Linked DNA regions of Oryza sativa Japonica Group. Each later gene encodes a partner of the first gene's protein in a complex. Links are inferred from orthologs where the notes say so. Each region holds a gene or a part of one and is shown on either strand. Other genes may lie near its edges.

Evidence for each region. The genes of interacting proteins can lie anywhere in the genome.
Region 2: retinoblastoma-related protein 1 (region 1) and transcription factor E2FC share a complex: the UniProt entries of both Arabidopsis thaliana proteins name them as parts of the DREAM-like complex. The link is inferred for Oryza sativa Japonica Group from reciprocal best matches to the Arabidopsis thaliana genes RBR1 and ATE2F2.

Annotation. Positions count from the first base shown.
Region 1 is NC_089042.1:27,067,671-27,072,408, forward strand, and holds the end of retinoblastoma-related protein 1, read right to left. Parts: coding exon 4,600-4,738; intron 4,494-4,599; coding exon 4,300-4,493; intron 4,218-4,299; coding exon 3,341-4,217; intron 3,246-3,340; coding exon 3,110-3,245; intron 3,025-3,109; coding exon 2,952-3,024; intron 2,811-2,951; coding exon 2,634-2,810; intron 2,501-2,633; coding exon 2,381-2,500; intron 2,293-2,380; coding exon 2,157-2,292; intron 2,076-2,156; coding exon of another isoform or gene 2,073-2,075; coding exon 1,960-2,072; intron 1,831-1,959; coding exon 1,715-1,830; intron 1,622-1,714; coding exon 1,468-1,621; 3' UTR 1,123-1,467; downstream 1-1,122. Other genes in the region: uncharacterized LOC4346175 precursor, read left to right, coding at 24-58. UniProt on the Arabidopsis thaliana protein: Key regulator of entry into cell division. Acts as a transcription repressor of E2F target genes, whose activity is required for progress from the G1 to the S phase of the cell cycle.
Region 2 is NC_089038.1:712,239-717,624, reverse strand, and holds the start of transcription factor E2FC, read left to right. Parts: upstream 1-2,065; 5' UTR 2,066-2,205; coding exon 2,206-2,601; intron 2,602-3,521; coding exon 3,522-3,684; intron 3,685-3,805; coding exon 3,806-3,862; intron 3,863-3,935; coding exon 3,936-4,021; intron 4,022-4,138; coding exon 4,139-4,227; intron 4,228-4,309; coding exon 4,310-4,364; intron 4,365-5,329; coding exon 5,330-5,382; intron 5,383-5,386. UniProt on the Arabidopsis thaliana protein: Involved in transcriptional repression. May act by repressing E2F-regulated genes in mature differentiated cells, but is not an antagonist of E2FA.

The DNA.
Region 1 (4,738 bases):
ATGCTGATTTTGCGCATTTGTAGGGTGCTTACCGACATGGCTGACGAGCAATCTCTGAATGTTCAAGTTGGACCTGAAGAAGATGATGCATAGATGTAAGCAAATAAGTTGCCTGGGTTTTTTTGTTGAACTATGGCAGACCATAGGAGTAGTTTGCTGTGTCATTTTGATGAACCATCAGTAGTTTCTGATGATCTGTGGCACTACGGCACTAATATATCAAACTGGGTCATATACAAGGGCATTGGCAGACATCTTTCTCCAAATAATAGTATTACTCTGAAGAAGCTAGTGAAAACTGGGAACCAGATGTACAATCTCTTGTACTGTTGTACTGTTATATACTGGTGTATACAGTATTTATGTATATGGTTTTTAGGTAATGGAATGAATAGTTATATACTGGCTTATGTATGCATGTAACATGATCTATATACTTGAGCTCTTGCAGACCAATGAAATTTAACATCAAAATCCACATACACACTATTAAAATGTACATTAGCCACCAAACTCGATCATTGGGTAGTATGATTCTGTAGCATTTTTTTATTTGAAATGATTCTGTAGCTTTCATAGTACGCCTCCTTAAAAATATAATAAAATAATAAAAAAAAAACTTTCAGATAGACATCATCGTACGTGTTGCAACCAGTTGTCGTCCTAGATTTCTTCTCATTCTTGTATGCCTTGTGTCATCCAGACAGTGACAGATTATGACCAGAACAATGCAGGAAAGGGACAACTAGGATGCTTTGTGCGTTGATCTAAGACGATTATTTAATTTAATTGTGTCAATTATCTGCTAACGAACTATTCCTAATGCCATCAACATCAAGTCCAAACAAGTTGATGGGAATATATATAGTGCTGGCACAGTATCAGCGTTCTTGCAAGACAAGGCAATGAAAAATACAAGGACGAATTAACAATGCTGCATAATTTTCTTGGTTTTGACTTAGCAAACAACCACAGCTTAATAGTCGTACAATCTGATTTGGAACGACCTGTAAAAGCTCATCCCATGAAAAAAAAATTACGTCCTGCTGCAATATGCAGATTGAATACTGCAAAGATGCTGACATGTAACAATAAAAGTAACACATAATGACAGAACCGAAAGAAACCAGCAAGAAAAATTCACAACTAAGCCGGCTTGACAAGAGCCAAATTTCATTTACAAAAGCTGTTAAACTTGCTACTACATTACATGACTGTAGTATCAACTCTTCAAAGAGAAAAAGCAGAAGTAAAGTGAGGCAGGTTAATTAGGGGGTCTCAGGGCAGCTCTTTTATATGTGACAGAAGACAAGAGCTGCTCACTGAGGAAATTTCCCCATGTCAGGAAACATAAACAGAGAAAATGGAGCTTCTGAACATCTAACTATTAGATCAGCTGACACCTAACAGATTAGCATTTCCGTCAGTAGGTTGTATTGGACAGGTGATGTGGTATAACTGAAACAACTAGCAGTCTGGCTGCTCCAATTTCACTGGTGTTTTTGTGGCGATATCTGCTGTTGTTGCTGCTGCTGATGCGCTATTTTGATCGCTGAGACTTCTGGCAACAACCAAATCACTGACAACATCAAAGTTCAGTCTTCCACTGACTTTCTTCCCACTGCACAAATTGAGAATAGTTTAGACAAAGTTTTCCTCTCACTAGTGAAATAAGGATAAAAAGACTTCTTTTCCAGCTTCTTTCTAGTTTTACCTGTTTAGGCGGTTGTTTATAACCTTAAGGTCCTTGGAGGGGCTCTGAAATGCATGAGTACTCTCCCCTACACAGGCGTAATAGCTCTTGGAGCTTGGGGAAAGCAAAGTATCCATCTGAAACATTCAGTTATTGCAATGTCACAACATTGATCAAGGACTACCATTATAGTTAAAATTCAGGTGGTCATTATAAATGCAACATTAAACTTCACAAGGGAGATCAGTTTATTTCTTGAGGCGTACCTTTGATGTGCGCAAGGGTGAAACATATACGTTATGAGCAGCAGAAACTTTCTTGGGAGACATGTCAGGAAGGTTTGGAAACCGAGATAGCCGAGGAGATTCTGGATATGGACCTGCTAATATGGCAAGCACTTTCAGAAAAGCCTTTAAATTCTAGCAGTACAATGATCAAACTTGTTTCAAGTACATTAGCATACCATCAGCAGCACATTTTTCCTCATTCTTCTTGTTTGGACTAGTACCAGACCCTAGCTCAACCAGCAAAGGTTTCACAGTAGGAATAAATACTTCGTTGTAGAAAGTGATAATGTCAACATGGTCCTCCCCTGTTTTCTGATGCCATAAGAGTAAACACACTTTCAGAATAATTGCGATTTAAACATAAAAAATTCTTGAAACACTGAAAAGAAAGTGCAGTTACCCCATTGCGGCTTCGTGATGCCCAATGAACATAAACACTACGGAAAACTTGTGGCTTGCACTGAGATTGTTTTCTGTAGCCGAAAATAATTTCCTTGAATGTCAGTGCCAATTGAGATATCTGCACACATGGACCAATAAACAAAACTGAGTGCTAACTGAGATATCTGGAAAAACAGCAATTGATAGATATACTAGCAATCATAACAAGCGAAATCTTTCTTTGTTGCAAGGGGAGTAATTTCTAGACAGACCTTAGCAACTCCATATATGCTGCATAGTATAATCTGATCGATGTGCCGATTGAAAAATAGAGCAGTTTGTTGGATAATGATTTGTTGCACAAGGGAGTACACTCGCTCCAAGACTTGCTGAGAAAGTTGCAGCCTTTCACAAAGACCTCTGATTCTAATAGCTGCAAGCTTTGCTATCTGCGCAGGACAAAAACATTGCAGTGCGATCAGTAAGAATTTTAGTGCATATTAAGGCACTTTAAGGTCAGACACTTATTTTTGAACATAAATTATGGTCAGACACTTATTTTTGAACAAAAAGTATGGTCAGACACTCACCTTGCTCAAAAATACACCTATTCCTGTCTCTGCGCATAATTCTCCCCCTGCTGCAGGATTAGGTCTTGTTGGACTGAAATCAAGAACATGCAAAAAAAAAAAAGACAATTGAGCAACCAGCTAATGACTTTAAAGAGGAATCAGGAAGGGATGTAAACCTTAAAAATGCTGATTGGAGAGGAGGCAACTTTGATTTGAGGGTATCCTTGACTGGTGATCTAAATGAATTGTTGTCCACCAGCACATTCCTCCTTTCAGTGCATGCTCTTTTGGGAGATCTAACTTCATCCTTGTCTACAAGAAATACCAAAATTTGTAAGTTCAACCATTCTTTCATATATTTTAAAGTCAAAGGCAATGAAACATGAGGTAGCATGCCAGTGGGCTACCTGGTGAATGTTCTTGCTTTTGAAAGGGAAGAGGTGGCAGCCCCTCGAGTGAAATGTTATGGTGCGCCGCAATGGCATCAAGTGATGGCATTGGTTCAGCCAATAAACCTAGCCTGTTTATTTCTGCAGATAGTGTTGGCCTGGCAACAATCAGAGAATTGTACATTGATGAGCCTTTCTCCCATGCCATGCTTTCCAGGAGCCGTTCCTCAAGTGAATTCAAATGACGTTTCAGCTCTCGTGGAAGTGTATCCTCATGCCTAACAAAACTCTCTATGACTTTGCTCAAGTCAAAAGCTGTTATGCCAGTTTTCTCTAACACAGCTGGGAACATCATTGTGACTGTCTTGTGAGTGGCCAGCACTAACTCAGCAGAACAAGCAATCATACACCGATGGAATCGCTCATTAGACAGAAGCGATGTAAGATTGTTCCCACTCAAGATCTGAGTCTCTGCTCTGCACATTGATTCCAGAACCCTGTAATATAGCTTAAGTGCTTCCATTTTTCTTTGCTCTGTCCAGATAGCATCAATCCTGTTTGTGCTTCGCACGCTGGTACATATACGTTCGCCGAAAGAACTGCTTGTGAATATGGCTCCAAGTATAATACCAGCTCTGCGTGTAATGTCATCTGTCACATCCTTATCACAAGCTGAGAAGAAGCGCAGTAACTCCCCGGAAGGTTTTGAAGGAAGGGGAGAGATTGTGCTCCGAAGCCACTTGGCTGTTGTCATGGCTGTGCTCACTGGGGTGATAGGAGCCATTTTTGAGCTGCAGTAGCCATTTCCAGTAGGGGATGCACAAAACCGTGGAGGAGACATCGGACTTGGACTTGTTATTGATTTTGCAGGTGAGGCCATAACATCGTACTTTCTCTGCAATACCCACAGGTAAAGTTAAAACATAAGATTTGGGGTTTTAAGTTGAATGAACATGTGTAGGCTTAACACTAATTACCTTTGTGCCTGGTAAATTGATGGCACCTCCTGACAGACTTCCACTGCCAAGCAAGCTGTCCTCATCGTTTGCGAACATGCGCTCATCTAATTCTCCCTTGGTGTTAATTGCATTCTCATATTCCTTTTCCAGCATTAGCAAACTTAATTTCAATGAGTCTTCCTCGAGCAAATTCTTAAAATATGTCAAGCCCTCTGCATCAAACAACAAGAAGCAAGGAAGTTGAGATGGATGGCAACAAGTTCCTGAAACACAAACCTCGACTATGGAAATAATTGTGTTTGAAGATCACATTCATACCTGGATCAATAAAAGACAACCTATCCTGCTGACATTCTGAAGCAGCTGGACATGGTTTCTTCTTCAGAATATCCACTATGAGAGTATTTGTCTTCTCGATTGCTTTACTCAACTCATCTTCTGATGTATGGTATTTTTC
Region 2 (5,386 bases), on another chromosome or scaffold:
AAGGAAAAAATTTACATGTCACATATTCCGTCCATTTGAGTTCATTTTTTCTATGGTTGGTTCTTGTGTGTTCCTAAGCGTGAAAAAAATATCAAAAAAATAAAAGAAAAATAAAAAAATTCTGAGGGGGGCGCCAGCCACTCTGGCGCCGCCCCCCCCCCCACCTCAGCATCGCCTCGCCACGTCGGCGGGGGGACGGCGCCAGAGAGGCTAAGGACCATTTGTGGGATAAGTTTTTTTAGGGGTCTATTTGCGAAATAAGTTCTTCAAAAGGACCAAAATGTGAAAAATCCAGTCGTCTCATGCCGTCTCCCGTGGATTGATACCATGACATGTGGGCCAGTGCGTTCGGGCCCCACCCCATGAGACGACACGTCAGGTGGGGAAAAAGGATGCGCGCGTCCGTGCTTGCTTGCAAGGCAGTGACACGTGGGCCCTCGTCTCGGCTGGTGGGCCCGCACCGTCAGCGTGTGGTGAACGGCTTTGCTTGATTCCCTTCGCTTGATTCCCTTCTCTCTTCCCGCTTCCCCCAACTAGAGTCGAGAGCAGGCGCTGCTTACCTACGTGAACCCTGCCTACGTGGACCGCTGACCGCCGTACAGCGTGGGGCCCACGGGTCAGAAGCGGACGTCCACCGTGCACCGATGCGGCAAACGTGCATAGGATCCGTTTCCGCGCGCTCCCCGCCTCGCTCTAGAGCGTGTGCGTGTGCGTGTGCGTGTGCGTGTGGGCTTTTTCTGTTTCTTTCATCCATCCATGGTTTTCATAATTACACCAACTCACCCCACTGATTTTATATATAATCTTACTTCTTGCTTCATTGGCTAATCAAAGTACTCTGTCTTCACTTTTACCATGAGCTAAGAATTTCTTTTTGTTCTGTTGGCATTTTCTAATTGCCATTTCTCTATACAAATGGATATATGATACGTTCTGTTAAATACATGTGTTAATAAATTTGTGGGAATTTAATCAAAAGATAAGCCATGGTTTAATTTCGTCAATATTAGATATATTCTTAACATTTTATATTCGTTTTTCAAGTAGTATGTGTGAAACACAATGTAAGATAGTGTTTCATGTAATCATATTTAGATGATGAGGGGATTGTATTTTATTATGTATCATTGCCCTACACATACTTCCTCAAGTGACATTGTCTAAATTTTCCCAAAATTACACATGTCCGTAGCTGTTGACTTGTGTAATTGATTCTAACTCGAATTTAGACTTGTTTTAATATATTGACGCCACAACGATAGTAGATATCTACATGGGGCTTGTTCCGTAGAACTAGCCGTTGAAGTGATGTAGCTGTTCGGCTAGACTGCGTTGCACATCTCAAAAGTTGCAAGTTGACATATCGAACATGGCAATGAGCTATGCCTTGCAACATACTTTGGCTAATGGTTGGCACTGTAATAGCGAGATATTTGATCTACAACATATTAGGCAAATAGAACTGTCCGAAAACAAGAAAAGTGGTGCGTTTTCATTGCAATTTTTTTTACCGTTGCAATACCCAACTAGAGTTAGACGTTGGCTCCTACTTCCTACGTTGTCTCTCTAACCAAATAAAGTAGGTAATTCTGTGAGCAATAAACGTAAATACTTGCAACAAATACGCGATGCGTAGCTGGCTTACTATGTTTGCTTAAGAAACAGATAATCACGCACCCCAACTCTACAAAACCAACACTGACCTGTGGACCCCCATACCCCCATATTAAGCGAGATCGACACGATCGGCCGCTGACTCATGAGCCCTACCACGGATAAGACCAGCGGCAACGTCTATCACAACAGGTACATTCAGATGTGAACATATTCCCGTATATACACGATAATCCTCAAACAAATACATACCAAAACTATCACGAGGTAAACTCGATAAATACCCCATGGATCCCAATGAATAAACCACACAAGCAAGAAGAAAGAGGGTGAAGGAGCAAGAAAGAGAGTTAGAGAGAGAGAGAGAAAAAAAAAAGAAAACGAGAGAGATAGAGAGAGAAGGAGAAGTTGTTGAGTTGTTTTCCCTCTCTCGTCCCCTTCCCTCCCTCCCCTCCTCTTCTCTCTTCCCCCCCTCTTTTCCCTCCTCTTCTTCGTCTCCAAGCGGCGCGCGCTCTCTCGCTTCCTCGCCGCCGTCTCGGACTCGGACTCGGGCGAGCGGCGCGGCGAAACCCTACCTCGCGCTCTCCTTCCATGGACGGATCCGCCGCCATCCCGCCCCGCCCCGCGCCGACCCCGCCCGCGCCCGCGCCCGCGCCGCCGCAGGTCTTCCTCCGCCGCTCCGTGCTCCCGCCGCCGCCGGCCCCGCACCACGCGCCTCCGCCCCCCGGAGCTCACGTCCACTACTTCCGCGCCGCCTCTCCCATCCCCATCTTCCGCGCCGCGGCCTCCTCTAGGCCCCCGAGGCCGCCCCCGCCGTCAACTACTACTGCTCCTCCTCCTCCCGCCGCCCCCGCGGTCACGCCTGCTCGCCCGCCTCCGCAGCAGCCTGCGGTCGCCGTGGCGGCGCCGCCTCCGGCTACGACTATGGCTACAGCTACCGAAGAGGTGGCTGCGCCCGCGACGGGGAATCCGATGGCCAACGCGGCGGTGAGTCAATGGAATGTCCCCCCCGAGTTAATCCGTCTACTCCTTGCCATTACTGTTTCAATCGATTGATGCTTGTATTAAGCTTTATTCTAGTGTTTGGTTGCATGATTCGATCATTCAATTTTGGATGTTATGGATTGGTAGATGTGTTCGGGGATGTTAATTTGGTTGGGACAACTTTAGGTTGGCACGAAGATGGCTTTAGTAGAAATTTTGGCATGCACGGCCGAATCGATTGAGCTCTGCCTGCTTCAAATCTTCCTTTGCGCAATGGTACTCTATTTAGTCTCAGTTTCAGGACCAATGGCAACAATGTAATGTTGCAGTCGACATCTGTAACCTGTAAGATCGATACGTGTAAATATGGTTTGGAAAAGACTGTGTTAGATTAAGTTCTGTCAGGTGCTTCTCATGTTCAAACTAATCTGCACTGTCCACTGCAGGCAACAAACTAATCTGCATCTGCAGTTGCTTTTATGTAAAGCTTACCAGGTTCTTCTACTTAGATCAGCTCTTTGGAACATGTTTGGTAGGAGTATGTATAAGCAAGTGATTTTTATGATGTGCTAGAATTTGGTTTGATAGCATATAATGTTTGGAGTAGATGGTTTCGACCTTTGGTACCTGGCCTTAGGAGTTAGGAGGTTGTCCTGGTACTAGGAGCTTATAGTACAAGTCAATCCCTACCTTTTGGTTGGAGAAATCTTGCAACTATGGTTCGTATTATGTTGGAATGAGGGTTTTATACTTGTAGTATTTGCATATTCTCTTTCACTCTTTTGAGGAGACCATTTTTCAGGCTCATGGATGTTATACTTGATCTTCATAATGGAGCGTAGCATTCCAAGATAGTTGCTGGATCAGTTACATTATGTTTGATAATTGACAATGTTGTGTTGTGAATGGTGCATATGTTTTAGGACAATGAGGAGAAAAATGAAAGAGAAACTGTACAGTCTGAAGTCGCCAAAGGAGAGACTGTGCAAGGGCCTGATAAAGAATGTACAACTGGGGCAGTAAAAGGCATCAAACGGCCTAGAAAACCAAAAGGTTTTAAAAAAGGTAGTCTTCGATCAAATGAAGGTGCGGTCCTGCTTATATTCTATCCACTTTACATAATGTGCATTGCTCTGATAATTTCATTGTAAAAGTTTCATACCAGCATTTGATTATCATCTGTTGTTCATTCTAATTTTCTTTTCAGGAGATGCTGGGCCTTCTTTATTTTCACCAAACAACTGTCGCTATGACAGCTCGCTAGGTAAAGTATGATGCATTTTTCCCAATGAAAAAAAATGCTTCATGTTTCTTATTAATTGTTACCCTTTTGCCAGGTCTTCTTACAAAGAAGTTCATCAACCTTCTTGAAGGAGCAGAAGATGGAACCCTTGATTTAAATAAAGCGGCTGAGACATTGGAGGTCTGGTTTAGTATTATCATTGAAAAAAATGCTTTCCACGCTTGTCAGACATTCAATCTTTTTAATTGTCTAAGAGTGAAGTGCCCTGATGTACCATATTTTAATAAATTTCTGTAGGTGCAAAAGAGGAGGATATATGATATAACAAATGTTTTAGAAGGTGTAGATTTAATCGAAAAGACACTGAAGAATATGATTCGTTGGAAGTAAGTGTAATTTGTTTATGTTTCTTAATGCATTCCACAAGTTAATTTTAGGTTTTTACTGACAAAATAAATACATTCAAAGGGGTTTTGATATGTCAAAGCCTAAGGAGAGAGAACGACAAATCTCAGCATTGAAGGTATGTACCGTTGTACTTTATGCTCTTCATTCTGTACATATTTTATGCTTTTAACTATCCTAAAGCTACACATAAGTAAATTATACACACATCATTATGAGTTCCATTCTTTTTCTTTAATCTTTATAGATAGAGGTAGATTGTTCTCATTTTACTTCTATTGTTTTTCAAGTCAGAAAGTGGACTAATTTAAATTGAACCATGAACTATCAGTAGGTTATGTGTTTGTACTAGAAATGGTGCCCTTCTTTTATTACATTAAGCTACTTCATGTATCACAACTGGGCATTAGGGCAGGCCTCTCCTGTATCGTTTCACTCAACTATTGGAGCATATGCCTAGGTATTAAAAGACTACTGTACTCATCCTTGTAACAAGGTGGTTGTATCATTTTACTACATGAAGACAGAATCAGTGATACATATTATCCCAATTGAACTAAATTGAACCAAGATAAAAATTATTTTGCTGCTTTTGAACCAATTATACTTTGGCTAACTTTTATTTTTCAATGACGTTAAGTAAAATAATATTGGTAACAGCTGTTGGAATTGAACTCGATCACCATGACTGTTACGGTACCATTTTATGTACCATCCAAGGAAACTATGGTTTATGTTTCCTGGTAATTTCTGATGCCATATCTGTATGAGTGCAGATTGTAGGATAAATTGACCATAACCAGTATTTTAATGGTAGAAAAATGTTTCCACAGTGGTTGGCTAGAGCGAAGTTTTAGTGGATCTGGCATGCTGGGGTATGCCTGTAAAAATAAAACGTAATAATTCAGTCCTAAGTCCATGATGAATCTTCTTCTTTATTTAGAGGCTTTCTTGAAGTTTCAAGTGCTGGCAATGCAACAAATCAACAAATCTATCCTCTGACAGTTCGCATGCCATTCCATTTGAATGTTAAGATTTTTGTCCTGCATTTGAAATTTCCTGTTGGATTTTGATATTCTGCAGGAAGAAATTGAGTCTCTTTATGATGAAGAGTCCAGGTTGGATGATGAAATAATGTAA